4 linked regions of the Arabidopsis thaliana genome follow. The protein of the gene in region 4 interacts with the protein of the main gene of each other region in a pairwise test. Each region holds a gene or a part of one and is shown on either strand. Other genes may lie near its edges. The genes, in order: AT1G27030, AT4G22250, AT4G01920 and AT1G22630.

Region 1 (8,116 bases), 1.4 Mb from region 4:
TTTAAGATAAAGAAGAGAAGAATCAAGCAAAAGTTGTGTTTCTCATAAAGATCTCAAAGATATTCCTACTACACATGGGTTCTCTTGACTTGCCTTACGCTTCATCGTTCAAGGTTTTTTTCTCAGTTTATATTTATAAAAATCAAATGAATTACTCATCACTATAACACACTAATTATGTTGTTATCAGGGAGGAAGTGAAACCTTTCTCCAGAATGTATTTGAAAGTATACTGAAAACGTATTTGAGGAAGAACCCGATGGCGAAGACGATATGGGAACTAGTTAAGTCGGTGGACAACGAAAAGATCTCTTACGACCACTTCTTTTTCAGGACATTTAAGGTATGAATTTACTCTTCAAAAATTTGGTGAAATTGTGTGCAGGAGGATCTAAAACCTTAACAAATTGGTCAAATATATTGATTAGCAAGTTCTTTGCAAATACGATTATAGTAAATCTACCTATTTAACAATTAAAAAAGTGGTTTTATACTTTTAATTGATGCCTTTGCAAATATATACTTTTCTTCAAGCTCATCTTGTAATCCTTGAGATCTTCTAACATTAACGGCATCAATTAAAAGTATAAGCGCTAAATGGTTTTAATTTTATACTTTTATGTCAGCAATTTTTGAGACCTGTTTTTTCTATTTTACCAGTGTATTTGTTAGTGGGCTCAAATTTTTTAATTTTTCTTTAGGCCCGAAATACTTGGGGCCGGCCTGATTGTATAAATTGATTTTTTCTTTTTTGCTTTGGGGGTGTATGGGTTTAGGTCGATGGTTATGGAATTGATTCCCTGGCGAGTTTTTTCATGGATTATGGATATAAAGTTGGAGGCAGACTTGATTTTCCAAAGAAGAAAGTACAAGTTCTCTGGCTTTCTCCTCCGGATGTTCACTTCCCCGATAATGGTTACGGTATTGGCAATGGCCCTTTGCCAAGACTTGTTATAGCTGAGCTTCTTGTGGAGGAACTAAGCCCTGAGTCACAGGTATTAGTGATCACAAACATAATGTTGTTATAATGAGTCTTTAATAATACATAATAACTTTTTTGTTGGTCCTAATTTCTGGTTAACTAGGAGATAATAAGGAAGTATTTGAAACCGGAAGGTGGTAAGCAAGCTGTTCTTTCAAGTACTTTGGGGTCTTTAATTTGGGAGAAGCCAACATCCACCGATTTCAATCAACTTGCCAAGTATATGTTCTAAGTTTATAATCAATAATCACACAGTATCTTTGATGGTTAGCTAATTTAATTTTTGAGTTTTGTAAATTTTTATAAATGATGAAGAGAAAGCGAATTTGCCGCATGGACGCTTGTCTACGGCTACACAATGAACCATCTTGCTTTCGCGGTTCATCGTCTTAAACACCGTTTCAGCGACATCAAATGCGTCAAAGAGTATTTTGAAGAAAACGGTTTCGAACTCAACAAGGATGGAGGAGTCCTCAAAGGTTTTCTTTACTTATTCTTCACATGACATCTTTCATTTAGATTGGTTCTATTCTATAACCATTATTTAAGTTGTATGGAAAAATATTTCAGTGAGTGAAGACAGTCTACTGTTACAAGTGTCGGCTATGTCGGAGAAACTTGTGGTTGAATTTGCAGACGGAGTAACTCAAATCGTCCCGGCTTCATACATTGAGTTCGTTGAACGTCTAGTTCTTCCACAGTTCAAAGATATGCCGTGTGATGAGGTAAGAAGCAATTCACATTAATCGAATTCTTTTATAATTAGACATTTTTATATATTTCCGTTGTAATGCAGATCAAAGAGTTTCATAGACGCGAGGGCTTGGAGCAAGCTAGCGCCTACCACATAATGGAAAGCACCCGTTTCACAGCGTAAATATAGAACCAGCTTGTTTTGTTCCGCTCAATATGTCAAGTATGTGTACGTACTATTAAAATGTTTTGTATCTTATTTGGACAATTTGTGTGTGAGATATTTCTGTTCTTGTGTTGTGAAGTGACGGTATAACTTAATATTACCCGTTACCGACGAATAATGGAAAACAAAGTGTCATGGTGGGGTGTGGTATTTGTGGTGTTTTTGCATGTAATATCTTTTGATAGTAACGTGACACTTGATTTTGGTGACTCGTAACACCTCTTGGGGTTGAAGACCAACGTGCCCAATCTTTCATTTACCTTAGTGTCTTCTTCTTTTTGCATTATTGGATTTTGGTGTTTCACGTAGAGAAACTGACATCACATTGTCTTTTGTTAGTTTTTTTTTGTGTTGTTAACCTTAAGTGTTTTTACGTAGTTAATATATCTTAGAGAACTTAACCTTTTCATTTAGCTATTATTCGTTTATAATTATAGTTTGGATCTAAATTAGTCTAACAGTTGTATTATGTGTTTTAGACCATCGCATTCCTCGATCTTAACCAAATATCTTAACAATTATTTACAATAAAATTTTGAAACATGACATGTAACTGTTTTTTCACTCATAAAAACCTCTTAGCTAAGAAGCAAGTCTTTAATTTTTAATTTGTTTTGATTTATTTTTCAGAATTTAATTTTAAGATATTAGTCTAAGATACATTTAAGATACATCATTGAAGATGGTCTACTAATTAGTAGCTTAGCAATTTCCAAAGTTGGTTTAAGGATCAACTTTTTGTATCATTTTATATTAGTGATCAAAATAGTTACATACCAAAAATTATTTATTTCATTTAATATAGTTTTTACCCCCCACTAGCTCTGGAAAAGTCCAATTATATTCTTGTCGTTAGCAATCATTGATCCTTGGCTTTTTTTCCCACTCTTTCTAGCTGTATAAAATACGAATTTACGATAAGATATTAGAAAAACCAAACAAAGCTGTGTTTCTCTCGTACACTTAAAGCATCGTCCCGCAACGGTTCTCTTGACTTGCCAAACGTTTCATAATTAAATTTTTTCTCTAATTATGATTTACAAAAACAAAAATCACGATAATCCATGATCTAACTATAAGAGGGAGTAAGAGAAACATTTCACTTGGTTTTTCTTACTGAGTACTGATATAAATAAATATAGAATCAGACAAAGATTCGTTTGCTGAACGATTTTATATAAATTTAGTCCTTACCTGCGCAGCTAATCATCGTGAGCGGAGCGACTATGCGTCAAGAAAAAAAAACTAAAATACTAATAATTAAGTGACTCCTTCTCTCTCCTTTTTTTTGGGGTATGCACCAACCTTTATTTATAAGTATAAGCAAGAATAAATAAGAACAACAAAGCAAACGGCTCATTTCTCAGAAACAACTCAAACATGGGTTCCTTCGACTTGCCTCACAGTTCATCGTTCAAGGTTCTTTCTCAAATTTATATTTTTTTTGAAGGAGAAATATCTTTTGTTACGATAATACACAATCTGCATCTAACAGGGAGAAAGTGAAATATTTCTTCGGAATGTGTTCGAGAATATATTGAAAACGTACCTAAGGAAGAACCCGACGGCGAAGACAATATGGGAACTGGTTCAGTCGTTGGACAACGAAAAGATCTGCTACGACCACTTCACTTTCAGGACACTAAAGGTAATAATTTTACTCTTCAAGATTTGGTGAAACTAATTGTTTAAATTATTATTTTGTTTTTACTTTTTTTTCTTTGGGGTTATGAGTTTAGGTCGATGGTTATGGAATAGACTCCTTGTCGAGTTTTTTCATGGCTTATGGATATAAAATTGGTGGTGGACTTGATTTTCCCAAGAAGAAACTACGAGTTCTTTGGTTTTCTCCACCTGATGTTCACGTTCCTAATGATGGTCACGGTCTAGGCAACGGCCCTTTGCCGCGACTTGTTATAGCTGAGGTTCTTGTGGACGAACTAAGCCCTGAATCACAGGTATATATGTTGATCGCAGACACAAAAATTTCATTATGAGTTTTTAACATATCTAATTTCGCTTTTGTTGGTCCTATATATTGATTAGGGGATAATAAGGAAGTATTTGAAACAAGAAGGTGGCAAGCAAGCGGTTCTTTCTAGTACTTTGGGGTCTTTAATATGGGAGAAGCCTACATGGACCGACTTCAAGCAGCTTGCCAAGTATATATATTAACTTTCAATTAATAGTCATATATCTTTACTTGATAAATTTCAGAAAAGTAATTCATTCTATCAAAATCTAACAGCTAGCTAATTGTAAATACATTAATTTATTTTAAATAAATAAAAATGAATACTCTTACACGAACTATACTGTATTACTCTACTAGTACATATTTAGTAACTAACTATTTATTAAATAAGATTTTGGGTGATAGGTTCGATGGTATTAAGGACAAGTTTTGATGAACAAGTACAAAAAAATGGTAGTTTCTAACAAAGCTTTGAGAAATTGATAGATCAGCACTTAAACAGAAAAAAAAATGATAGATGAACACTATTTTTTTCTGAAATGTTTATAAAAAAAGAAGAAGAAGTAAGAATTGAGTTTTGTTTTTGTTTTTAAATTTTTTTATTTTATAACTATTTTAATGGTTAGAGCTAATTATTTGGAATTGTATGTATGAATGATGCAGAGAAAGCGAATTTGCGGCATGGACGCTTATCCACGGCTACACAATGAATCATCTTGCTTTTGCGGTTCATCGATTCAAACATCGTTTCAGTGACATCAAATTCGTCAAACAGCGTCTTGAGGAAAAGGGATTCAAACTCAACAGTGACGGAGAAATCCTCAAAGGTTTTTTAATACTTATATTCCCATCATGAGTTACTTTCTTGAAACGTTTCTATTTAAATATGTTGTTCAATAGAAATGATTAATGAATGTGGACATACATATTGCAGTGAGTCAAGATGGTCTACTATTTCAAGTTTCATCGATCTCGGAAAGGCTTCCGGTAACATTTGCAGATGGAGTAACTGAAACAATCCCAGCTTCATACATTGAATTCACTCAGCGTCAAGTTCTTCCAGAGTTCAAAGATGTGCCGCTTGATGAGGTAATTGATGTAAGAAAGAATCGCGAAATAAATGATTTGCATTTTTTCGCATTATTTTGTTTATTCAGAATTTTTTTCATTGCCATGCACTGTGATGCAGATCAAAGAATTTCATAGACGTGAAGCTTTTGAACTCGATAACGCCAACCACGTAATGGAAAGCACCCGTTTCACAACTAAATTCTAGAACCAGACTTGTCTTGCTCGACTTAGTATATGCCAAATTTGTGCAACTATATATGTGAGTGTGTGTTTGTGTGCAATCTTTCCATATATATGCATGTGTGTATTTGCGATATCTTTATGTTGTTATTTTACTGTGAAGGGACAATGTAAGCATATGTTATCTCTCATGATGGTAATTGTTGATTAGAGTGACCAACTTGTAAAATGGATCACATGATTGACGAATCATGGGAAATAAAATGTATTTTGTGATTGAAATATGTGATATTTGTGAAGTTTTCGTCTCTCTCTTAAAATAATTTTTATGGGTGTGATTGAGTGTATGTTTGCTATAAATAGGGGATTTACTTGGACAATTTTAAAACATTAACCCATATTTGTTAGTATACAAGTTTTTAGTATCTTGTAGAGATATGGTATAACTGTTTTTTTTGCAGCTATAAGATGCACTAGATTTTAACTCGCGGTACACCGTGGGGACAATTTATTTTTTAAAGTTAGTATATATAAAAATTTATAAATTGTATCTATCTATAAAATATTTTTATTTTATAGTTTACAACTGTTATTAAGTAACGTCCTGCCAAACCCGTCCCGCAAAACCCATCCTGCAAAAAAAACTATTTATTTTATTAATGTTGATCTTATTTATGAATCATTGTCTAAATATTTTAGTCGATGCGGGATGTTGAACCCACACATTTTTCGCCAATTGGTTAATATATGTTCATTTTTAAAATTTTGAATCACAAAATATGACGGAATTTTTTTTGAGATTTTTTAAACTATATATTATATAATGATGTTAAATTTTTTGATATATTAAACTTTTTATAAGTTTAAATATTAATAATGTTTTATAAAGTTTAAATATATAAATAATAATATTTAAAAAAATATATATTTTTTGCCTTTTAGGTAATGACATAATAACTCTAAAAGCAAATATTTAGAAGATTTAAATCGTTAATTAAATATTTTTATTTCTAAATAATTAATGTCAATAGCATGACATTGTAAATAAGTTCAAATACAAGATTTATTTATTTAAACAAAAAACGTTTAATAAGAATAATATTTATTTAAACAAAAAATTTTGTTTTAAAATATTGTTAACAAATACGTTTATGCTAATTTTAAGGGATTAATGTGAAGTTTGTTTGGATTAAATTTGATTGATAATGTGATTGACAATTTAAATTAAGAATTTAAAGTAAAATTAATTATATTGGAAAACAATTAATGCTAATGGCATTGGGTTGTAAATAAGTCCAACTCTAAGATTTATTTGTTAAAATGGCTGCAAAAATGTATATATAGATGTTATATTATATCACCTTACTTTTGCTGAATATCTTAATTCTACATTCTTTATATTCCACATTTTTTTTTTACAGAAAATGTAAAGTTATAATTAGACATCTTTTACAATGAATTTTGTTTTACAATGAATGTTTCATATTGAGCTTAGTGTTCTTAGGAGAAAATTTTAAAAATCAACCACAAAACAAATTAGACGTTGAGACGAGATTACGGATTCCTATGACGCCGATATGGTATTTGCGCTCTTCCAAAATCGACATCTTTTTAATCTCCCTTTTCTATTGTTTGTTTACTCACGAATATTATTGTTTTCAATGTCGACGTGTACAAATCCAAAATCACCTCTGCTCTCGCTTAATATGCCAAGTTTCACCTACCGTTTATTATGACGTGTTTCTTGTATAAAGGCAAAAAATGTAATCTAAAGATATTGAGAAACAAGTTGTATTAGTTTCCTTAAAAAAAAAAAAAAAAAAAAAGAGTTATATTGGTTACCGACTGTTTCTCAGTTAGATTGATTCGTTCCGTTCCAATATATATTTTTTTAAAATTCGGGTGGTAGTATAATACTTTGGTTAATTGATGTTAAGTTTACAAGATTCCAGAAAACCGAGTTAGGTTAGGTGAAAACCAAGACCTCGTGTATCATGTTTTTTGTTTTTGTTTGTTTGTTAATAAATTCACAAAAAAAGTTCATTATCTGATAAATAAAAAGATTCGTTGAATGATTTTAAATAATTGAGCACATCATGTCCAATAAATATATATCTATCTCGTGTATAATATTTAATTAATGTTCTTTTGTTAATAATTAATAAAAGAATTCTATTATCTTATAAAATTCAAAAAAAAAAAAAAAGATTCGTTCACTGATTGATATAAGTAATCCCATACTGTCCAGTAAAATATATTTATTTTGTGCATATTTTTTTAAAAAGTGTATAAGTTTCAGGTAAACAATCGGAGCAGACGGTTCGGATTGAGCATAAAAATACTAAAATTATGACATATATTTTAAATTTTTTATAATAGAGTATTACTTATTTTTGCAAAACAGAATTACTTTTAAAGACAAATTTTTTGATCTAATAGATATATTAATATCTAAACGAATTCGGATAGACATTATGTAAAAGATGAGTGTTTGACACTAATTATCGACTAATTGAAAAATCATAATAATGAATTGATGCTTATGTTATCTAGTTTTTATTTTTATTAAATAATAAACTAAAACAATCATTATAAAATCATACTTTAGTCTTACTTTATCGATTCAGAAAAGCAAGTATGATTAATAAAACGAAGGTTTATCAAGTTTTTTGTGTATATGTGTGTTTTTAGGTAATATTTTCAGACTACAGAGTGTATCTTTATGTTGTTTGTTTAAGTATCTTTTCTGTTATTTTTATTTTCTTGTGAATTAAGAATTACCAAATTATATATCTTCCAATGGATTATGATTGCTATTATTGATAAGAGTGGCGAACTTGTAAAATGGATATTGACAAATAATGAAAAACAAAGTTCACTGGTGAGTTTTATGATATGTGATGTATTTTTTTTTTTTAAGGTAATTGTGTGCTTGCTATAAATAGTGTTACACATTCAAATCATTTAACACAAAATTGTTATTTAAATT
Region 2 (6,939 bases), on a different chromosome or scaffold from region 4:
TTAAAACAAGTGACTTTTAAGACAAACCACAATTATTTTCTCTTTTTTCAGTAGTTTGGCAGATTACAAATTTATTGCGAATTTATCATCTAAAAGACTAAAATATAGTAATAGAAAATAAAAAAAATCATCTGCAAACCTAAACAAAAGAATGTATTTTTGACAACAAACTATATTATTACTAACGGTAGTTAGAGCGGACAAATACGTCAGCGATTTAGTCCGCTCTATTTTTAAAATGGGCAATAAACCGTTACGAACTAATTATATTTGTATGTAAAAACAGTCCGTAGTTAATCTGCAGTGGTTTTTTTTTTCTTTTTTAAATTCGCACCTATACAAATATGAATGATAAATAAAAAACAGTTCAAACCGCAAACGAATTTGTCCGCCTTAACCGTTGCAACCATTCAAATCCTATATAGCAAATATGTGCTACAATGATAAAGAGAGACATAGAAGAAAAAGAAAGTAATAAAACTCAGTTTACAGATTATTCTTCATTGTTATCATTATTATTGTCTCCTCCACTTTCAGTTTTGGCTCTGATTCATGCTCTCCGCATCAAACCCTCCACCAAACTGTACATAACAAAACACAGTTTCAAACTTTCAGTTATATGAGAAATTTGGTCAATTTAGGTTTCTTATGTTCTTGTCTGAATTGAGTTTTTCCTTTACCTGATGGTCTCTAAATAAATTACAGAAAGAACAAACACATTCAAAATAGGGCTTCAGATATTGAGAAACTCTATGGCATATGCTAGAAACCTCGAGTACTATACTAACAAGTATCCCATACCATACTAATAGAACCATTTCCAGTGACTGAGTCCCTCAAAAAAAAAATGATAGGCATCAAGCACAGAGTGAACCAATTAGACAACAAAATGACAGTCATCATCTCGATTCTTATCGAAAGACCCGACGTTGCCGGGATAATTCTCATGTAACTCTTGCATCGGTACATAGTTTACTTTCTAAATCAAACAGAAGAGAATGAAATTCTAAAACACTTGAATTTTGTGAAAATCTGAGACACATTTCATAGGCCATAGACGAGATGTTCTGTAGTAGTTAAAAACATTATATTCCTTATCATCGAGTTAATAACAACGATTAAGAAGTAAACCTACAACCACACTATATATTTGTCTCACTTAACACAACGACAAGAGAGAGACATATATTTTGACCAAGTTCAAGGATTCAAGAGAGGGCTTCCTTCTTTGATAAGCACAAAGACACTTCCACCGTCTCCTCTAGAGATCCGAATGTCTTTGTCTAGATAAGTCGTGAGTAGCCAAGACTGCGCATTGTCCGCCGGCAAAGAGAATTTCAACGGTGGTTGGCTTGATATGGTTCTAGCCACAGACGAGGCTGTGTCTTGCACCGAGGTAAGTAACCCTCTGATCGGGTTAAGATCAATCTTTTGACCAAGAACCTCTACATATTCCGGTATCTCAATAGAATCCGTTAGCTGAGGCGTCCCAATTACGCCTTGCTCAAACTTAATCTGCAAGAAAAATGAAATCCAAAACATTACTGAAAACGTTTCAAGATGTTGATATCAGATCATGGTCGATGAATGGTCAATTTACCTGGACGCGTTTAGGGCTTCGGATTTCGAATTTAGCGTTGGTGCTAATCGAGTTTGTACCTAAAGGACCAGCGAAACGAACAGAGTTCTGGACGGTGAAGTTATCTGAATCAATGGTTTGAGAGATCTCATCGACTTTTATTAACGGTACGATTCCTCGTGATAGCAACGGGAACAAATTCACGAACGATGTGTAGCTGCAAAAGAGGTTTAACCAAATCAAAAGCAGCACGAGATCTACCATTTGAATCCAGAATCCTACGAATGATGCTATCTACAGGACTACAAGAGAAAGTTTTCACCGGAAAAAAACTTACGCGAGGATCCATTTGCCGTTGAGAAGGAAAAGAGCTTCCGTCGGAGCTGGAGTAGGGTTCTTAGACTCGAGCTGTGTGATTAGATCTCCGATTTCAGCTCTGGTTTCGCTCGATGCGCTTAAACCTCGATCTGTTCCGTACAACGAATCCACGAGCGATCTCTTTAGCCGCTCCGTCTCTTCCACGTCTTCAATTGCTTCCTCCGCCGCCAATAGAGCTGATCCTATCTCTCCCGTATCTGTGGCTCGGACTTTGAAAACTCTACGGGGGGAAACAGCGATTCCTCCGGTGGAGATCATCGGGCGGTGAATAATTGAGGTCACCGGTACCAGAAACGGAGGCTTGGAGATAGATTTAGAGTTCGGTGAGATTGAAACTCTGGTTTGGCAGCTAAATTGGGTGGACAATTGTACCGTCGCCATTTTTTTTTGTTTCTTCGACTAAAATTTCGAAGCTAGTGAACAAGAATAGACCTGTACTGATTTTATAGACATTGTTACGTAAATGTTTTGCTTTCATCAACTACCAAACTCACACCAAGAGGGATAATATCGACTATTCCACATAGATCATGTACATTCGACTACGATACTGCCACGTGAGAGACAAGATCAACGGCCAAGAATCCACTCGACGGTGTGAGGCGAGCATTGTTTAGGCTAGATAAAATCCAAAATAACGGTTTACTGGGCTTGAATAGACTAAATGGGCCTCGTGAACAAAAAACCTCTTGTATTCTTTTTTGCATTTACATCATCTTCTTCAATAACCAAAAGAAACGTACAAAGTACACAAACCGTAGTTAAAACTTTGGAAACGTATCTAGGGATCACCTCACTTACTCACGTGGATCGAGAACTTTTAGCCGTCCGATCGTTTTCAGAAAATATCGAGTATCTCAATGATCGGACGGTTACAAAGAGGACACGATCCACGGTTCAGCCACAATTCTCTAGAGCACACTCTGCAAAAAGTATGACCACATGGAATAAACGCAGCGCCTTTCTTTCTTCCCATACACACGCAACACACCGAATCATTACCCGTTAACGTCCCAATAGACGCCGTTAATATCTCCGTTTCTTTCCCGTCGTCATCAACGATTTTCTCCGCCGTCTCTTCCAACAATCTCATCAACGAAACTCTCCTCGGCGTCATATCTGCCTCCGCCTCCGTCGATTCTCCACGGTTATACCTCTCCGCTTCTAACGCTGTCGCGAGATTCATACCCGTACCCGATCCATGATCCGATTCGAGAACGAGTCCGGTTTCAATTTGTAACTCTTCGATTTCGTCGTCTCTTGAGGTTGGACTGTGAAGAGTGGTGTTGTTAGTTAGACGGAGATTCCAGGTTGGACCACAGCATCCGATGCATTTGAATCTCAACCGTTCTTTTAACGTCCGTTTCCTTCTGGTGAGATCGTGACCGCTCATCTGTCGTCGGAGCAAATCAAGAAACGTCGTCGTCGTGCGGTGTGTTTCCGTCATCCTCTGACTCGTTCCGAGATCGAGTTCACTCATCATCGACTCGGTAACGGAAACTCTAAACAAATTCTCAGATAGTGAAACAGAATCACCAGTGAAATAGACAGATTAGCTCCGCCATGAGAGAGCCCTGTGAGGGAGAGAGAGAAACTGTTTAGATCTTTGGGTCTCGCAGTGATGATGACATTATAAAGGAAGTTTTCAGAGTTTTTTTTTTCTCTTCACATTTCTTTATTTTTTTTGTTAAAGTTGCTTCCGAATATTGATTTCCCGCGAATTAAAATTACTTTATACAGTTTTACTAATTTTTAACAGTTATAACGATTCTGTTTGACTGGTATTCCACACAAAATTACAGTAGTAGTGGAATCGAGTATATTTGTAAAATATTTTTCCAACTTGAGTATATAACTTTCAATTTTTAAAAACCAATTTTTAATAAGTTACTTACATCATTGTTTAAAACTTAAAAGGTTAATCAACTTATAATTATGTGTAATTTACCGAGAAATGATGTACAGTGTACGCAATGGGGGCAACTATAATGTTAGTTCTTCTGAATTTCTGATAGAAAGAGAAAAAATAAATTTACTTAAGAGGAAAAATTTAATGCTGTTTCTGTAACTGTACGACTTAGTTTTAAAATTAAATAAAAAAGTCTTCAAGGTCTCGAATAGAAACAAAATCGAATTAGTACTTAAGTTTATACTCCCTCCGTTTCATAATATAAGTTGTTTTATACCAAATTTTTTGTTTTATAATATAAGTTGTTTTCAAGTTTCTATGCAAATTATATATTATTTTAATACTTTATGATTATTTATATTCTACAGTTTTTTTTATAATTGGTTGAACATTTTAAAAATAAATATTCTTAATATACGTATTTTTAGTTAAAACAACTTATATTGTGAAACGAAGGGAATATTACCAACAAAAAAGGTCCTCCATCGGAGTTCAAACCCTATTAAAGATTAAACAAATCATCAATCGAATAAAGGTACTATTAATGTAACGCTAACTCTGAAATAAAAGCGACGATCAAAGTATTCGAATTTGATTACTGCTAATTATACTAGACTGATGAATTCTCTTACCTGTGCTATAACCGGAACATGGTTTTTTGGTAAAACCTTTCTGGCGGGAAAACATTTTTGTTATTAAACCCGCGGAAAATCATTTTAAAAAGTGAAAGGCAAAGAAGAGACAAAAAAAAAAAAAAAAAAAGAAGAAAAATTAAAGAAGGCGCATGAATCAAGGCTTTTCCCACGTGAAATGTTCGCATAGACGACGTCGTCTTTGCGCCACACTCTCCCCAACAAAACCAATAAAAATAAAAGTGTGGGATATAGAGATTCTAAACGCTAATACCAATATGCTTTTTGAGAGAATGATACATTCAATGATTTTGTACTTTTAAACATTTTTTTTACTCCTGTGAAATAAGAATTGAAGAAACCGACAATGCAACCACAAAGGCTAGTAGTATGGATAAAATGGTCTACAACGACTTAAGCTCATCAAAGTACATTTACATCATTAGGGTATTTGATTCTCTCACACACTAGCACAACGATGGGAATTTCACATTATTCCTTTATTCCCAAGTATATGGGATTATATCTATTGTTCATGAGCTGATACAAATAATCTTTTTTAGTTTACTTTCTAATTTATTAACTTGTAATGGATTTCTTGAGGCAGTCTACAATACCTTCGCAATGAGCCTCCTCAGGAACAACACACCCTGATTCTTCTTCAGTATCATCATCTTCTAAAATGGAGTGTGGAGAACGCAGACTGCCTAGAGTCTGACAAGCTCTCATTGTCTTGCAGTGTTCTGCTTCATCATCTCTTATGTTCACAAACACATCGTATAGATTTTCTGCCCAACCGTAATCACAAAACAACAAAAACGTTATATAGATTCTTATTTTAACATCAAAGTAAGTCACAAACTGTGAATAATGCTTCCTCCATACAAACATAAGACAGAATCTCAGTCATTTATAGAGCGCAGAATCATAACCATGGATAAATCATAAACTTTTTTTTAGCATTTTGTGGTTCGACGGAATCAGAGATGGAAAGAACTAAACGGATATGAAATAGATTTGCTACCTATTACTGGTCTTCGAGTATTGGGAGTTCTTGATGTTTGGAACTCATCTGCAGACAATACAGGGCCAGTTTAAAAGACTACTAATCATAGGTAAAAACATCTCTACAACTCTGGAGGATATTGATAATTCCTGGAAAGACAAACTCACCAAATAAGTACAAGTCACCTCCCGTATAGTATTTTACTGCGATATCCGGTGCAGGCATATTCTTCAACTCCTCTGTTTAGGGAAACCAAAAAAAAATGAAGCACAACAATTCAGAATGTAAAGATCGTTGAAGAATTTTGTGTAATATTTCAAAGCAATAACTCCATTAACAACTTTAGTTCTAATGTAAATGGTACACAGAATGGTGGAGAAAGAAGAAAAAACCATTGGTAACCAACCTCCACTGGCCTTGAGAAATTTATCATAAGTCTCATATGCATGACTCTCCACACATTCCGAAAAGTGATCTGCATAGGTGACACAAGGTTAACGAAGTCATGTAGACCAGAAGCAATTTATTCAGCTACTTTCTAGAAGTTACGCGGAAAGGAAACTTACATGCCATTCTAGGGCTTAAGATATACAAGAACACTGTCATGAAGTAGTAGAAGGTTGCTATGTGCTGAGCCAGAAAACGATCAAACCACCAAGAATTTCCACCCAATTCCTGTGATTAGAAACATTTGTTTTACTATTACTAACTATGTGAGTAAAGAGTATGAAACTTGTAGAGAAGTAACATTTTGGTTCTTACTTCCATTATGAGCAAGTGATGCATTTCATTCCAGCTCTCAGCAAAGTGTACTTTCAAATAATCTGCTCTCCTCCACCAACCAAAGGTCTCATACATATGTAGCACAGACATAAACGCTGCAAGGAGCATATAGAAGAAACAAACATTATGTTCTAGCCTCGGAACAACTTTTCATTTGGTATCCAGATCCATAATTAGTGATAAACACACTAAAAAAAACAAGATTCGATTCTCAACAAATCCAATATCTCGATGACTGAATCGCCTTTTGTTGTTAAGAGTTGAACTATGCTTCTAATGAGATAAGAAAGAGTACATATTCCTCAAACACAACTATTTCGTCATTGTTCTTCTTCTGCACACATCTCAAGTGATGTTCACAATCTTACTGTCTTCTGAAGAATACAAAACCTAATGACTAGCTCTTAATGCTCTGCTCAATGTTTCTTGCAAATATTATAACGAACTGAAACTACAATTACAAATAGATGCACTTACCAAAATAAGGCACTCTAGCAATTGTCTCAAGAACAAAGAACCTTGCATATGTTCGGTCACGATACAAAGTGTCAAGTATCTTAATAACCGAGTCCTGCGGAGAAAACGAAAACAAGACAACAATCAGAAGACATGAAATAACTTCCGGTAAAATAACACAACCAAAAAATCTATA
Region 3 (8,308 bases), on a different chromosome or scaffold from region 4:
CTCTAAAGGGTGATATACCTCTGACGGATGCCATACGCAATCCACATGGAAGGTTAAATCACACTCTTGACATTTGTAAGCAAATTCATTACCACTAATCTTTCCACATTTAGCATCACAATCGAACGCCGCGATCCGCTCCTTGAGAAGGGTGAGCTTGTGGTGATGCCTCTCGGAATTTTCAATAAACTCTGGCGGTGGGTACATGGCACAGTGTAGATCCACGATAAAGCCACAGATCTCACAATAATAGGATAGGTAATTGGTGCGCCTTCCACATAAATCACAGTGAAAACGTAAGTTACTACAAAGCTCAAGAGTGTGATTGGGGTGAGATGGATGCTCGATATATTCGGAGACACCGTCACCACATGTCTTGTGGACGAAAAAATCACATCTTTTGCAATAGTAGCCATCGCTGATAGCTTCAAAGTGACCACAACAATCACCTTTCCTCAGGTCATTCCAAGGCATCATTTGATGGTTATGGATCAACGGTAGTGACACCACTCCCTTAGAATCCATGGTCGTATACTACGAGATTTGGAAGAATAAGAGGTTGGATCTGAAATCGCAAAGCTATGCTCCTTTCACGTTTCTTTCTCTCTCAAAACTCAAAAGTCTTCTCTCGATAATCTCAACGATGCTCTTGTAATATTAATCATTATATTAAACTTTTGAATTGTTTGGTCTTTCATTAACAATGAATATAGTTTTATGATAGTGACAATATAACTAATCATCATTAACCACTTGTAATAAATAGTCAATTTTTAATTCTTTAGATGTATACCAATCGGCATGATCCATTTATGAGCTTCATCTCCCCCATTATTTTTTCAACTTCACTTTTGATGTACGTTAAATTTTGGAATTAATATTGATAGAAAATCTCAATAAGAAAACTCCCACTCGTTTTCTTATACCAAGGCATTCATGTACCTTCTGAGATATCGGTTTAGTTTTGGTTATGTTTCGGTTTGAGAAATTTCATTTCGGTTAGAGTCAGTTCAATTCGGTTTGTTTATTTAAACAGGTCCTTCATTTTTTTTTGTATGGATGATATTGGTTGGAAGATGTTAGTCTTAGCGATATCTCCTCCTTCAACGACTCTCATAAGACCATTAAAACAAAATGGGCAAAACCGGTCACCGGTTTGAAAAATCGTCTGCTTGAGCCAGAGGAGGCAGAGCAAAACTGGCACCGGAAAATCATGGATCGTCCCAGTAAACCTCTCGCTTTTTGGTTCAGGCTTCTTCGTGGGTCCTCTTCTCGATGGTCTCCACTGACTCACGTGTTGATCTCGTTGTTTACCAAAACGGAGCTTTTCAAATCGGTCCTCTTCATACAAACATCTGGGTAAGATTAAAATCCACAACTTTAAGAATCCTTCATAAAAACATTCTGTTTTTGATCTTGTAAGGTGTGTTTTTTCAGGTCCCGTTCTTGCTTGGCTTATTTTACTGTACAGTATGTTTACTACAACTCCTCTTGGATGATAGAACCTCTATAAAGCCTCCACGTTGCAACCTGTGACAAAACCATAATTTCGCTCTTGTGAGTATGTATTGTTGTGTAGAAGTATAACTATTTTGGGGACAGTGGAAGTGAAACTCTATATGGTTTGGTGAATGAAACAGAGCACTGGTGTTGTTCTTAGAGCTAAGTTCTGAAATCTACAAAGCTGGAGTTTCAGACAACATAGAAGCTTACATTCTATTTGCCTTAGCAGAATTTATTTGGTTCTCTTTGGATAAACTTGGATTGGCTTCACCATTGCCACTCTCCTTGGTGTCGCCTGTCCTTTAGCCGAAATCTTCATAATGCAGTAAGTAAACTGCGCGCTTCAACAACCATCTCTTTGTTTTTTATCAGAAGTCAGTCTAAAGATTGTCATAACCTGGCTTAACAGATTCTTCCATCTGTGGTACTATATATCCAGAAGCAAACATAGAGATCTTTGGCCAGGTAATAAGTGTTTATACAGACATATTCAAACAAAAACATACACATGAATACTCTGTTTCTTTTTGTTTTGTTTTCTGGTGAAGGGATTGGTTACGTGGACGACAACGTGCTACTTCGTCTACACACAGAACTTGCTACAATGGCGTCTTCAAAGCATTGTAGTTTCTGAATACCAGATGATCTGAAAGAAACAGTCATGTGTATGCTTTGAAGACGCCATTGCCCAAGACTTCTTGCAACAAGGGTTTACTTTATTACTAATGATCTGAAACAGAATGCACATTGACATTATGCTTAGGGAATCTTCTTGAATGTCTATCATGGTTATAGTTTGCTCTTCAAAAAATGTCAATCTTAGTACTGGTGGGAATGATGATGACACAACATTCTTGAGTTAAGAAGTTCTCTTTGATCAGTTGGGTGAATTTCTATGGCATCCCATCTGAAACATTAGCGTTCAATGGTACCTCCATAACCAGTAGCATGGCAGAATGTTCTATACAACGGCGTAAGTAAGATCCTTCATTCCAAAGACAAGGCATAACACGTTTGAAACAGCTGATCATATCAAATTAAAATTCCAAGATTCTTAGATAACTAATACATGCCATAAGTACCATTAAATCAACTTCTTAGAATGGAAATGAATTTGTAAAAGAAATGGTACAAGAAATCTAAAAGAAAAGCCTACTCGCTAAACATCCGAGGGTCCAAGTATCTTCAAGATGATAGGAAAAATGCAACGCAACTCACACCAGATGCAAAATGGACGAGATAAACTATTATTGAGCACCACCTCATATGATATATGTTACAACACACACATTGTATATGGAGTTTGGTGCCAGAAAATTCTTAGATATTTAATACATTAAGGAAATCAACTTATAAAGGAAATGAACTCGTAAGAAAGAAAAAAAATAACATTACAAGAAAAACCTCGACTCGCTAAACATCTTGCTTCATTTTGGGCTTTAACGGTCTGTATATCTACACTCTGCACATTCAAGAGAGCAGGAGTATTCATTCGTGGCTCCAAGTGTCTTCAAGATGATAGGAAAAATACAATGCATCTTACACCAGCTGCAAAATGGACGAGATATACTATTATTGAGCACCACCTCATATGAAGTGCCCTCAATTTTTATTGTGCTTCTTCGCATGAGACTTGAAAGGTCTCCAAGCACACACTTTGTATGCAAACTAGCCTGATGATCTTTACACGTATAGAACCATGTATGTGGATTTGTTTCTTTTTCACAAATGTCACACCAATATTTACCACTTGCCTTTTCGCCATAGCATAGTGAGAGAGGATGATCATGAACTCTATGCTTTACCATTTGTGGTAAAGTGGCGCATCCAAAGCATAATAAAAATCCACAATTATCTTCAATGCAACTAAGCACAAAGTCCTGCTCCATGTTGCAACCAGTGCACCATTGTACTTCGTCTGATGGAAAGTAATATAAGGGATGATTAGGATGACTTGGATGGATATGTGGCTCAGAAATTGAAATGCACCGAACATCGAATGCCTTATTCCCATGCTGGTACTTGAAACCATTGGACAATCTATCACAAGCATAACACCTAAAGCCTTCATCCTTGTTTGTAACCAACGTAAGACGTTCATTGTGTAGCACATGCCATTTCATTCTAAGAAATCCAGCGCAGTTTTGGTGGAGAATGAAGTTACAATCCATACAGCCGTAGAAAGACTGGAGACAGATGGGATGGGTGCATGCCTTGCACCGCTTGTTGTCATCACATAGAACACCATTAACGTTGAGTCTTAGGTAATGCTCTTTGTGACTAAAATGTTGTATTGTGTTTTCATCTATCACCACATATGGCTCTATATCTTCTGTTTCTTCGGGTAATCCTTCAAGTTCTTTCCCATTCCACACATCTTTTCTAGTAGCACATTTTGAATGAACAACATAGCCATGACACCTCTGACAAGAAAAACCTCCATAAGACCAGTCCACCTTTTTGCGACAAACTCCACATACAGAATTCACAACACCAAGAACAGAAGTTCGAGAAACACGGTGATCATGCCGGTTAATGTTGATGAGGCGTGGAAGGCCAAGACAGTCTTGATGGATCATGAAACCACATTGAAAACATACGTAAGGGCTACGATCTCCCTTCAGCCCGCAAGCATTGCATGTAAAAGAATCGAGTTTTGGGAGAAGGGTGAGTTGGTGATCATGAGCTTTCAAATTCAGAAGAGATTGTTGTGGTGGGCGCAAAACACAAACCTTGTCCAAGGTAAAGTTACACGGAGAACAATGGAAAAAAAATGTTTCATCAATCTTTCTTGCGCAAAGACGACATTTCCCATCAGAATAATCCGGTAACTGACCCTTTGCGTAGAGTTTAAGAGGGTGTAAAGAGTGGTAAGAATGGTTTACCTCTAAACGGAGTTCTAGTTCGGGCGGATACCATACGCAATCCACATGAAAGGATAAATCACATTCATGACAATTGTAAGGAAACTCATTACCAATAATCTTGCAACATTTAGCACATATACATTGCTTGATCCACTTCTTGAGAAGGGTAAGCCTGTGGTGATGCGTCTTGGAAATGTCAATAACCTCTGGTGGTGGATACTTTGAGCAGTATAAATCCATGTCGAAGTCACATAGATCACAACGATAGAATATTGGGCACATCCTTCCACACAAATTGCAGAAATTAGTAGGTCTTTCAGGTCTTAGCAGCTGAAGAGTGTGCTTGGGGTGAGATGGATGCTTGATATATTCGGAGGGCTCGTCAGCACAATTTTTTCGGACGAAAAAATCGCAGGTTTTGCAGTAGTATCCATCACTGATAGCTTCAAAGCGTCCACAGCAACCACAGCAAGGACCTCTTTTCAGATTTTTCCAAGGCATCATAAGATGCTCGTGGATCAACGGCATTAACACTCCCTTAGAATCCATGGTCGTTTACTAAGAGATTTTGAAGAAGAAGAAGTTGGATATGAAATCTCAAAGCTAAGTTTCTTTCACGTTTCTCTCTCTCTCTCAAAAGTCTTCTCTCTTTAATTTCAACGATGCTCTTATGAAAAAGAAGATTGGATCTGAAATCTCAAAGCTAAGCTCCTTTCTCTCTCAAAAGTCTTCTCTGCGTTAATCTCAAATCCTCAACGATGCCCTTACAAAATTATTTTTTTATTAGACTTTTGGTTTTATTGGTCTTTCATTAACAATAAAAAATAATTAGGCCCAAAACCCGCACCGTGCCGGTTTTTTCATGCATTTTGTTAGTTATAATAATTAATAATTTACATCAACTGAATTAATTTTATAAACAATCGTTTTGGTGTTTTTTTCTATGATTATCATTTTGATGTATCTTCTAACTCTCAAGTAAATGATTCATTCTATTTATTATGTTTATTTATTTATTTTTAGTTACAATGTTTAATATTTATTTACAATTACTTAACTTAGATATACAAAAAAATAAATTATTATCTTTAAAGTATTTTAAGGGTTTTGTGCAAAAACCACTATACCTCATCCATTTTTGCAACTTCAACCTCTACCTCCATCAAATACAGATTAATCATTAACAATATAAAATAATATGCATTATAACCCTCTTTTGCCTTTTTTTTTGTTACCAACAATTTTGTAAAATATCGATAATAATATGTTAAATTAAAACTTTCGCGAAGAAGAATTTAACTTTACCTTCAAAATTTTAAAAATCTAATGTATATAACCGTAAAAACGTTTACAATATATATATATATATAAAGATCATATTTTGTATTATTTTAGACTTCATAAAAATAATCTGCATTTATTGGAGGTAGAAAATAAAGTTGCAAAATGGATGAGTTAGCACAAAACCTTATTTAAAAGTAAACGGAAAAATAGTTTTACAATATCAATCATTAGTATTATTTTATTAAAATGAACCACTAGTTTAAAATAGTCAATTTTTAATTCTTTAGTCGTATCAATTAGCACTATTTATATAAAAAATGAAAATGAAAGAAATCTAAAAACATTGGATTCGGATCCATTTTTAAACTCTGAACTATTTTTTTATGAGCTGGATATCTCAATTATTTTTTAATTCACTAGATCTTGGAATTAATATTCATATTAACGTTTGAAACAGCTAGATCGTCAAAGTCAAAATTGCAACATTCATAGATAAATAATACATGAAGGAAATCAACTTATTATAATGGAAATGAACATGTAAAAGAAATGGTACAAGAAATCTAAAAGAAAAGCCCACTCTCTGGACATCTTGATTCATATGCATTACATAGCGCAATAACCAGTAGTTGGCATTATGTTCAATACAACGGCGTAAGTAAAGATCCTTCATTCCAAAGACAAGGCATAATTGTTTGAAACAGCTGATCATATCAAATTAAAATTGCAAGTTTCTTAGATCTAATTTCTTTTTTTTTTCTTTTCAAAAGAAAGACACAAATCTTGGCTTGCCTTAAAACGTGTGTACATGTTGATAAAACATTTTCATTTCGGTCTCTAGATTCTGCGAATAATAATGAATGGAGTCTGTGTTTGGTTTCATGTTGAATCAATCAAGATGTGTTTTTAACTGTAAATGAATTATGCAGAAAACATCTGTCCTGGTTCTCAGACATCGGAACTCTGTTCCTAATAAAAACTGAAGTCCCTGTTTTTATGTTAGTAATCTGAAACAACAATTGTTTGAAGACGCCATTGCCAAGATTTCTTGCAACAATGGTTTACTTTCTTACTATTTCTAATGATCCTGAAACAGACTATACAATACGTTGAGAAAGAAGCGAAAAGCTGACAATCATGATAATGCAAGACTGATAGTATTGTGTTGTTCATTTTCAAGGTGAAATTTTGTAGAAAACGAATGTCAGAAAGCATTTGAAACAGCAAGATCGTATCAAACTAAAATTGCAAGATTCTTAGATAAATAATACATTAAGGAAATCAACTTATAATGGAAATGAACTTGTGAAAGAAATGGTTACAGGAAATCTTTAAGGAAACCCCACTCGCTAGACATCTTAATTCACACTCATTGCATTAGCGCAATAAGGAGAGCAACAGTATTTTTGTGAGGCTCCAAGTCTCTTCAAGATGATAGGAAAAATGCAACGCAACTCACAACAGCTGCAAAATGGACGAGATACACTATTATTGAGCACAACCTTATATGATCTGCTCCAACGCCTTAATGTGCTTTTTGGCATGAGCCCTAAAAATTTTCCGAGCACACACATTGTATGTAAACTAGCTCGGTGGTCTTTACACGTGTAGTAACTAAAGTAAGACGCTCATTGTGTAGCACATGCCATTTCATTCTAAGAAATCCAGCGCAATTTTTGTGGAGAATAAAGTCACAATCCATACAACCATAGAAGGACTGGAGACAGATGGGATGGGTGCATGGCCTACACCGCTTGTTGTCGTCACAAAGAAGACCATTATCGTGGAGCCTTAGGTAATGCTCTTTGTGGCTGAAATGCTGTATTGTATTGTCATCTATTACCACATATGGCTCTATATCTTCTATTTCTTCAGGTACTCCTTCGAGTTCTTCTCCGTTCCATACATCTTCTCTGGTAGCACATTTCGAATGAGCGACATAATCGGGGCACCTCTGACAAGAAAAACCTCCACAAGTCCAGTCCACCTTCTGACGACATACTCCACATACAGAGTTCACGACACCAAGAACAGAAGTGCGAACAACACGGTGATCATGCCGATTGATGTTTATGAGGCGTGGAGGGCCAAGACAATCTTGATGGATCATGAAACCACATTGAAAACATATGTAAGGGCTTCGATCTCCCTTCAGCCCGCAAGCATTACATGTAAAAGAATCGAGTCTTGGGAGAAGAGTGAGTTGGTGATCATGAGCTTTCAAGTTCAGAAGAGACGGTTGTGGTGGGCGTAAAACACAACACAAACCCAAGGTGAAGTTACAAGAAGAACAATGATAAAACAACCTATCATCAATCTTACTTCCACAAAGACGACATTTTCCATCAGAATAATCCGGAAATCTAGCAGTTAAGAGCTTAAGAGGGTGTAAGGCATGGTAAGGATGGTTTACCTCCAAAGGGTGTTTTAACTCCGTTGGGTGCCATACACAATCCACATGGAAATGTAATTCACATTCCTCCCACATTTATCGTCACAATCGAACTCGATCCGCTCCTTAACGATGGTGAGCTTGTGGGGATGCGTCTCGGACATGTCAATAACCTCTGGCGGTGGGTACATGGCACAATATAAATCCACGTCAAATCCACATGTCTCACAATGATAGCCTAGACCTTTGATTTCCCTTTTAC
Region 4 (6,849 bases):
AACTTAACTGGTCAAAATTTAATATCTTCATTGGCATTACTTGTCAGTTGATATCTTCTATGCCACTGAAGTGATCAATGAAGTAGTTGTATGGAACCAAAGTGATCAATTAAATAGCTGTTTCACCAAAACAAAAAGTTATGTTATGTCATTTTCAAATTTTTCTTTGAATTCCTAAAATACTTGTAAAGGTTGTAGGTTAGGTTATTTGAAATTCAAAATGTAAGTGGATTAGTATGTTAAAATCAAAAAAAAATGAAGAGAAGACATGCGAATAGCCAAAAAAATAGGCAAGAACTAAAAAGCACATACAAAAAGTGACGACACCAAACCAAACATCATTTAGGTATGGTTTTAACGTCTGCATCAAAGTTGCTCTGCGTATTATCTGCTTGAAATGACTCATTCAATAGTATAATCTAATTAATAGGAACACTTCAAATAGGTGAAATTTGACATCGAATTATATATTGTCTCCACATTTTTAAGTTACATGGCTTGGAATTATTACATATTTTCAGAAACTATTTGTGACGCAAAAAAATGTGATTTCATGATTTCATCGCTTGAATTTGGTAATTTCATTAAAATTTACATTTCACTGAATTTAATTGACATACGTAAATTAAAAAATGAAAACATTAATTCTACATAGAAATTTGAAACCAAAAAAAACTCTTAAAACATATGACGTATATCATATAACAAGATTAATCACAAATAAAATGTAGTATTAAATTAATTAGTTTGCTAGATTATGAAATTATAACATTTATAAAAATTACCGTTTTTTAGCATCTGCAAGTACAACATGCCCTAATTGTTGTTTTTATAAATTTCTTTGAGCACAATCTTTTGGCTTTGCCATCAAATAATTATGCTAGTTTCTTACTTGATGTTACATAACAAATGTGAACAAAAAAAAAACACAATTGACGATCTAAATATATAAAAAGATTCCTAAAGAATTCTCGATTGACTCTCTAATGAGTTCTAACATCAGAAACCCGACAATTCCGACACGACTCATTACGAAACAACCCAATCCGACAACACAAACACACCGCATCACTCTCATGAGCTCCAAACAACTCGGAACCCCACCGTCGAGTCGACTCAGCCGAGTCAACAACACTCACTTTCCGAGTCGACTCGTACCGATAACTCGGTCCAACAGAGAGTTCCAAATTCAACACCCAATCTTCCTCGTTCCCATAATCCTTCTCCGACGTCGTTCCACTACTCTCACAATTATTAACCATACCAATCTCTTCACGCACCGGTTCCGGTTTAACCGGTCCAGAGAAATCAAGATGTATAGTCTCAACGACATCGTTTTGAAGAGACGACGGAGACACGACGGATTCGTTGATCAGACGGTGAGAGTTTGGATCAATCCCACGGCTGAGAAGCTTCCTCTTGATATGAGTGTTCCAATAGTTCTTGATCTCGTTATCTGTTCTTCCTGGTAATCTCCCAGCTATTAAAGACCATCTATAACAACAACACAAAGTTTCAGAATCTTTCACAAATATAATCATATTCTTAAAAAAGTGTGAGAGAAAGAGACTAACTTGTTACCGAGCAAGCTATGGAGCTTGATGATGAGTTCATCTTCTTCTTCAGTAAAATTGCCTCTTTTGAGATCTGGTCTTAGATAATTCATCCATCTCAATCTACAACTCTTACCACATCTTTGTAATCCTGCACAAAGTTCAATCAAAAATCAAATCTTTACCTCTCTGTAAATATAAAGAAACAGAGGATGTATGAATAAGTACCAGCGGCGCGAGGGAGAGATCGCCAGCAACCTTCACCGTGTTTACGGATGTAATCAACAAGAAGCTGATCTTCTTCTTTAGTCCAAGCTCCTTTGTTCATGTGAGCTTTCTCGCAGCATGGTGATCTTCCCATCTTTGTTGATCTCTATATGTATATATGTATCTCTCTACGTGTATTTGGAGGAAATAGTGTTTTATTTTTTTTGCAAGGAAGAGAGTTCCTGTAGGATGGTGTTTTCGTTTTGAATGTTATTTATAATAACTACCTAACATTATTTTAATACCAAAGTTAAAAATAAAAATGTATCTAACAAATGAAATGATGTGTTCGTTTTTTTGTGCCTAAAGAATATTGTAACACCAACCAGAAAACACAAATTTGATTGTAGTACACTCACAGGAGGAACGTGGGTGGAGTTTCCTAACTTTTTTTGTTTTTTGTTTTCTGAGATGTAGATCGTACGGTTTTGGTTATTGACTTTTTGGCTCTTTAGAATCATCTCATCTGCTCAAAAAAAATATCATAATCATTTTACAAATTCCACAATTCATTGCAACATGTACTGTTTTTAACCATTCTTATTGCATATAAAAAAATATAGTCACGCGTAACTTTCGTATAAAAAGATCGATTATAAAAGAGAAAATAACTAAATAACGGTTTAAGTAATCACTAATCAGTTAGTGAATAAAGTGTTTTTAACATCATCAAATTTACTTCTTAGTTTCTGTAACGATTTTGTAAACTCGTTTTAATATCAATAAATTTGTTTAGCGGAAAATTAAACCAATTTTTTTTGCATTATTGAATTAAACAATTGTTTACTGCATTATTAACAAAAAAAAGTACTTAAACCTAATTTTGGGAAAATGTTAAAAAGAACAAAAAAAAAGTAGATCTGGGAGAAAGTAGGTAGATAGATTGGGAAGATGAGTAGGTAGCTGTCTTTTTTCATCTCTCTCTTCTCCAATCACTCTCTCCACACGCTACTTCCTTCACGTACCTCCACGTGTCCTTTCTTATGATTTTATCACATTCCTCTCTCCTTTGTCTCTTCAATTATAAAAACATGAATATTATTTAGATTAGTTGGATAACTGAATTATTGGGTTTGGGCATGTGTACTTGGTCCTTCTTCTACTGTTGTGTCTCTTAAGTTTTTTTTTATATTTTATTTTCGGATTTCACATTGTAACGACGGTCCAATTAAAGAATACATTTTTAAAATGAATTTACTAGTAACTTGTAAGGTACTTAAATGGTATCAATCAACATTGGGATGATTTTTCTTGGAAATTGGAATAACGTCGCTATAACAGGCGATTAGATAAATTAGTCGCATAGAATCGTATAAATGTTAAATGTTTTTGTCTCACACGCCCCATACGTATTTTAGTCCTTTGCACTTTTGCAGAAGTTATCAGAATTCTTTTCAATATTTAAAGAGGAGTTGAATTTTACAACAGTGATGTAATTCTATCTAAAGCTTAATTTCATAAGTTTATTATAGTTCTGTTTTTCTTTCTCAATCGTAAACATTTTTTCTTATATAGAAAACCCCGTACAATCTAACTACTATTCAACGTAATTTAACTACTGTTCAATCTTCAATGTTTTGTCATAAGCTAGTAATCTATGCTTAATTAAGAAAGAAACATAAGAAGAGTCATGAGCGGATGGGCCTTTTGTTCATAGCATTGTATTGGTCATGGGCCATTACTTGCAAAGCCCAACATGGCTAACCGCAAACAAGCTTCTAATTTCATCACGCTACGCCAAATGCCAAACATTGTTGTACAACACTTCTACCTTCTGAGTCTTCCTGACTATTGGCTAACATGAACTACGACGTTCAAAGAAAGGTTCTTCGGAGGTACACTGATCGATATGGAATTGGAATCGAAGGTTCCCTATGCACAAAAGAACATGGCGAAAACACGATTCAAAAAAACATAACGTCCGAAGCGCAACTAAAACTTAATATTTCGTGTTAAAAGCCAACTAAAAGTTACATTTCCGTTTTGTAAGCAGAAAGTGTGACTATTTTATGTGTTCTTAACAATATATCATTTTTTTTTTTACTTTGTTAATATCACTTTCTCATTTCTAAACGCTTTGTAATATTCTAGCGAAAATATAATTTATTAATGATTTTTATTTTTACATGCAAATTATACGACTGAAATGTTATAGGAATAGAGACATGTTTGTATCACAAAATTAACTTATGTAGGAAAAACAAATAGTATAAGTCTATCGTTCCCCTCTCTGTTCAGGCGTCAAGCCTCCCTTGCCACATTTAGGACAACTCTTCATACCAAATCCTTGACAATCAAAACATCTGCACATATTCAAAATCCCAAATTAACTCTCCTTAAGTACTCATTGAACTGTAAATTTTTAGATTGATATTTGAGAACCATGTGACATTGTTAGTTATTACTTACTTCCACCTCTCAAACATATTTCCGTTCTTCTTATTTTTACCTGTTCCCTGTAGACAACAAGAGAATTTTGTCTAGTATATGCATAAATATAGAGTAAGAAAGAGTAAAATGAATAGGTATGGTCTGGAAAAGATTGATCATACACTAAAGGTATTAGTTTATTACATAGTATCTAGTAATGAAAATCAAATTAGTACCTTGCAACCGGGACATTCAATTGCTCCTTTGGCTCCACAAGTCTCACAACTTTTGAATATCTGTTTATATAAACCTTTTGAAGAATTAACAAAACTCTTCATTGACGATGATAACATATCATATTGTATATGGATGTATAGTGAAATCTTACCGAACCAAGAGAGAAATTTCCGATTTTTCCCGCAGAAACTTTGATTGTATCGCGTCGCCCCGAAACAAGCTGACTTTCAAAAGCTAGAATCTTCGGTTCTAAAGATAACTCACTGCAACAAAGTGGAAATTTCAACATTTTTGTAACTCAAATTAGAACTAGGAAGTAAGATATCTATGTACATCTATATGCATATCTATGCATACAAGTGATAGTGAATATGGATGGTGTGAGAAAGCTAAAGAATTTGCTTGGTTGTGGTTTGTGGATATTGAAACGGATCATGTGGAGGGAATATGTTGACAAGGATTATTGACTTAAAATACATAAGTGAAAGAAGCCAAAAGACCCTACAAATATCCATTGAAACAAATTAAATTATAATTTTTACCTAACTAATAAACAATATCAATCACAATTTAATTCTTTATTTTAAAACAGTAAAAAGCATAAACAATTAAGAGCTTAACAATCATTTTTTAATCAAAATATCTAAACAGTATACATTCAAGTAAATATTACTTTATGCATGCAAAATGTAAATCTGAATTCTGAATATGTTAATTTTTCTTTTTACAATGTATCAAATTTTATAAATTAAGAATAATATATTTTCTTATAAATTTATCCAATTTTAATTTAAGAGTAAGATATTAGTTCAAAAAGATAAAGAAAGGGACAAAGGATAATTAATTCAATGAACACGATCCTAAAATAGAAAAGTACGAAAACACCCCTTATCTTCCGAACACTTTTCCGATCGCAAAATGATCGCCTGAAACCATCGCCGGCTTCAGAGTGTTTGATCGTTTCTCCAGATAGATAGATTGATCCAATATGGCGAAATCGGAAAACTCAACGACTTCGACTTTCTCTTCTTTCGCCAACAAGATTCAACCGTCCAACGATGCAGAGTCCGATCCCGATTCGTATGCCCTCGAGAAATTCAAACTCTACGAAACCAGAGCGGTAAGCTTAAACCGATTCAGAAATTGTTGATTCTAAAGACTAATGAGGAAGATTGCATCAAACGTTTCTCATTTGATTTCACCATCGCTTAGGCACTCTCTAATGCGAAAAATGTGTGTTGGAATGATTGGAATCGTTAAGGGAACCCTAGATTGAATTGCTTGTCATATAATTTTCTTTGTGCAGAGGTTTTATCTAGTAGGGAGTGATAGGAATAAAAGATTCTTCAGAGTGTTGAAGATTGATCGTTCAGAGCCATCTGAGCTTAATATTAGTGAAGATCCTGTTGTATATTCGCCTCAAGAGATCAAGAGTCTGCTTCAGCGTATCGCTGAAGGCAATCGTGCCACGGGAGGATTGGCTTTTGTGGCCAAAGTCTATGGAATTGCTGGTTAGTCTTTGGGGAAGCAATGCTTGTCTTGTTTGTATATTTTGGATCTTGTGTAGTGAGCTAAGTTGAGTAAAATTTGTGCCTTGTAGGTTGTGCTAAGTTTATGGAGTCATACTATTTAGTTTTGGTTACAAAACGGCGACAGATTGGATGTATATGCGGGCATGCGATATATGCTATTGATGAAAGTCAAATGATCAGTGTTCCACATGCAACTATTCAATCTGATGTTGCGAATTCCAAAACTGAACTAAGGTCTGTATCTAGGAATTTTGATTTCCCTTTCTGAAGTTTGAGTGAAGCTAGCTATTCCCACTTTTAAATTCTTATTGCACCATATATTATTTCACAAAGTTCTTTGTATCTTTCCTTTATTTGCAGGTACAAGAAGCTTCTGTCAAGTGTAGATTTGACAAAAGATTTCTTCTACAGTTACACTTACCCTATAATGCAAAGCTTGCAAAAGAATGTTCTATCATCTGGTGAGGAAGGGATGCCTTATGATAACATATTCGTATGGAATTCGTATCTGACGCAGCCTATTCGATCAAGGTGCAACAACACTATTTGGACACTGGCATTAGTTCATGGGCACTTTAAGCAGGTATTGTCTTAGGGCTTCAATCCTATGTTTGATGCCAGGAGTTAAAATGGTTCTAACTAACTTTCCCCATCATTCAGATAAGACTATCAATATATGGAAGAGACTTCAGTGTTACTTTAGTCTCCAGACGTTCTCGACATTTTGCAGGCACACGGTAAGAATTCTTTCTTATCAGGCCTCTAATGTATGACAAATTCATGGTGACCGTTTCGATTTTCTGATGCCCTTTCTTAGTTATACCTTTTATCTTTAGGAACTTTGGTTAGGGTGAATATAATTAGTGATGTGACCTTTTCTAGACCAGTTT

The links.
Region 1: the proteins of AT1G22630 (region 4) and AT1G27030 interact in a two-hybrid assay, tested with the Arabidopsis thaliana proteins (one large-scale study listed by BioGRID).
Region 2: the proteins of AT1G22630 (region 4) and AT4G22250 interact in a two-hybrid assay, tested with the Arabidopsis thaliana proteins (one large-scale study listed by BioGRID).
Region 3: the proteins of AT1G22630 (region 4) and AT4G01920 interact in a two-hybrid assay, tested with the Arabidopsis thaliana proteins (one large-scale study listed by BioGRID).

The regions. Positions count from the first base shown.
Region 1 is NC_003070.9:9,378,561-9,386,676, forward strand, and holds AT1G27030 (uncharacterized protein), read left to right. Parts: upstream 1-2,966; 5' UTR 2,967-3,281; coding exon 3,282-3,320; intron 3,321-3,396; coding exon 3,397-3,549; intron 3,550-3,640; coding exon 3,641-3,859; intron 3,860-3,947; coding exon 3,948-4,063; intron 4,064-4,539; coding exon 4,540-4,703; intron 4,704-4,810; coding exon 4,811-4,965; intron 4,966-5,065; coding exon 5,066-5,152; 3' UTR 5,153-5,500; downstream 5,501-8,116. Other genes in the region: AT1G27020 (plant/protein), read left to right, coding at 75-113, 191-343, 777-995, 1,086-1,201, 1,298-1,461, 1,553-1,707, 1,779-1,859.
Region 2 is NC_003075.7:11,764,890-11,771,828, forward strand, and holds AT4G22250 (RING/U-box superfamily protein), read right to left. Parts: upstream 3,675-6,939; 5' UTR 3,441-3,674; coding exon 2,796-3,440; 3' UTR 2,566-2,795; downstream 1-2,565. Other genes in the region: AT4G22240 (Plastid-lipid associated protein PAP / fibrillin family protein), read right to left, coding at 1,201-1,515, 1,601-1,796, 1,917-2,338; IM (Alternative oxidase family protein), read right to left, coding at 5,078-5,286, 5,523-5,570, 5,672-5,743, 5,911-5,979, 6,071-6,179, 6,267-6,382, 6,765-6,858.
Region 3 is NC_003075.7:826,161-834,468, forward strand, and holds AT4G01920 (Cysteine/Histidine-rich C1 domain family protein), read right to left. Parts: upstream 5,129-8,308; 5' UTR 4,920-5,128; coding exon 2,943-4,919; 3' UTR 2,666-2,942; downstream 1-2,665. Other genes in the region: AT4G01910 (Cysteine/Histidine-rich C1 domain family protein), read right to left, coding at 1-525; AT4G01915 (uncharacterized protein), read left to right, coding at 1,214-1,359, 1,438-1,470, 1,913-1,968, 2,052-2,137; AT4G01925 (Cysteine/Histidine-rich C1 domain family protein), read right to left, coding at 7,013-7,118, 7,406-8,142.
Region 4 is NC_003070.9:8,001,354-8,008,202, reverse strand, and holds AT1G22630 (SSUH2-like protein), read right to left. Parts: upstream 4,981-6,849; 5' UTR 4,717-4,980; coding exon 4,579-4,716; intron 4,487-4,578; coding exon 4,427-4,486; intron 4,277-4,426; coding exon 4,230-4,276; intron 4,124-4,229; coding exon 4,036-4,123; 3' UTR 3,899-4,035; downstream 1-3,898. Other genes in the region: MYB3 (myb domain protein 3), read right to left, coding at 984-1,494, 1,575-1,704, 1,782-1,914; ATSAC1 (Phosphoinositide phosphatase family protein), read left to right, coding at 5,416-5,547, 5,734-5,938, 6,028-6,193, 6,320-6,542, 6,620-6,696.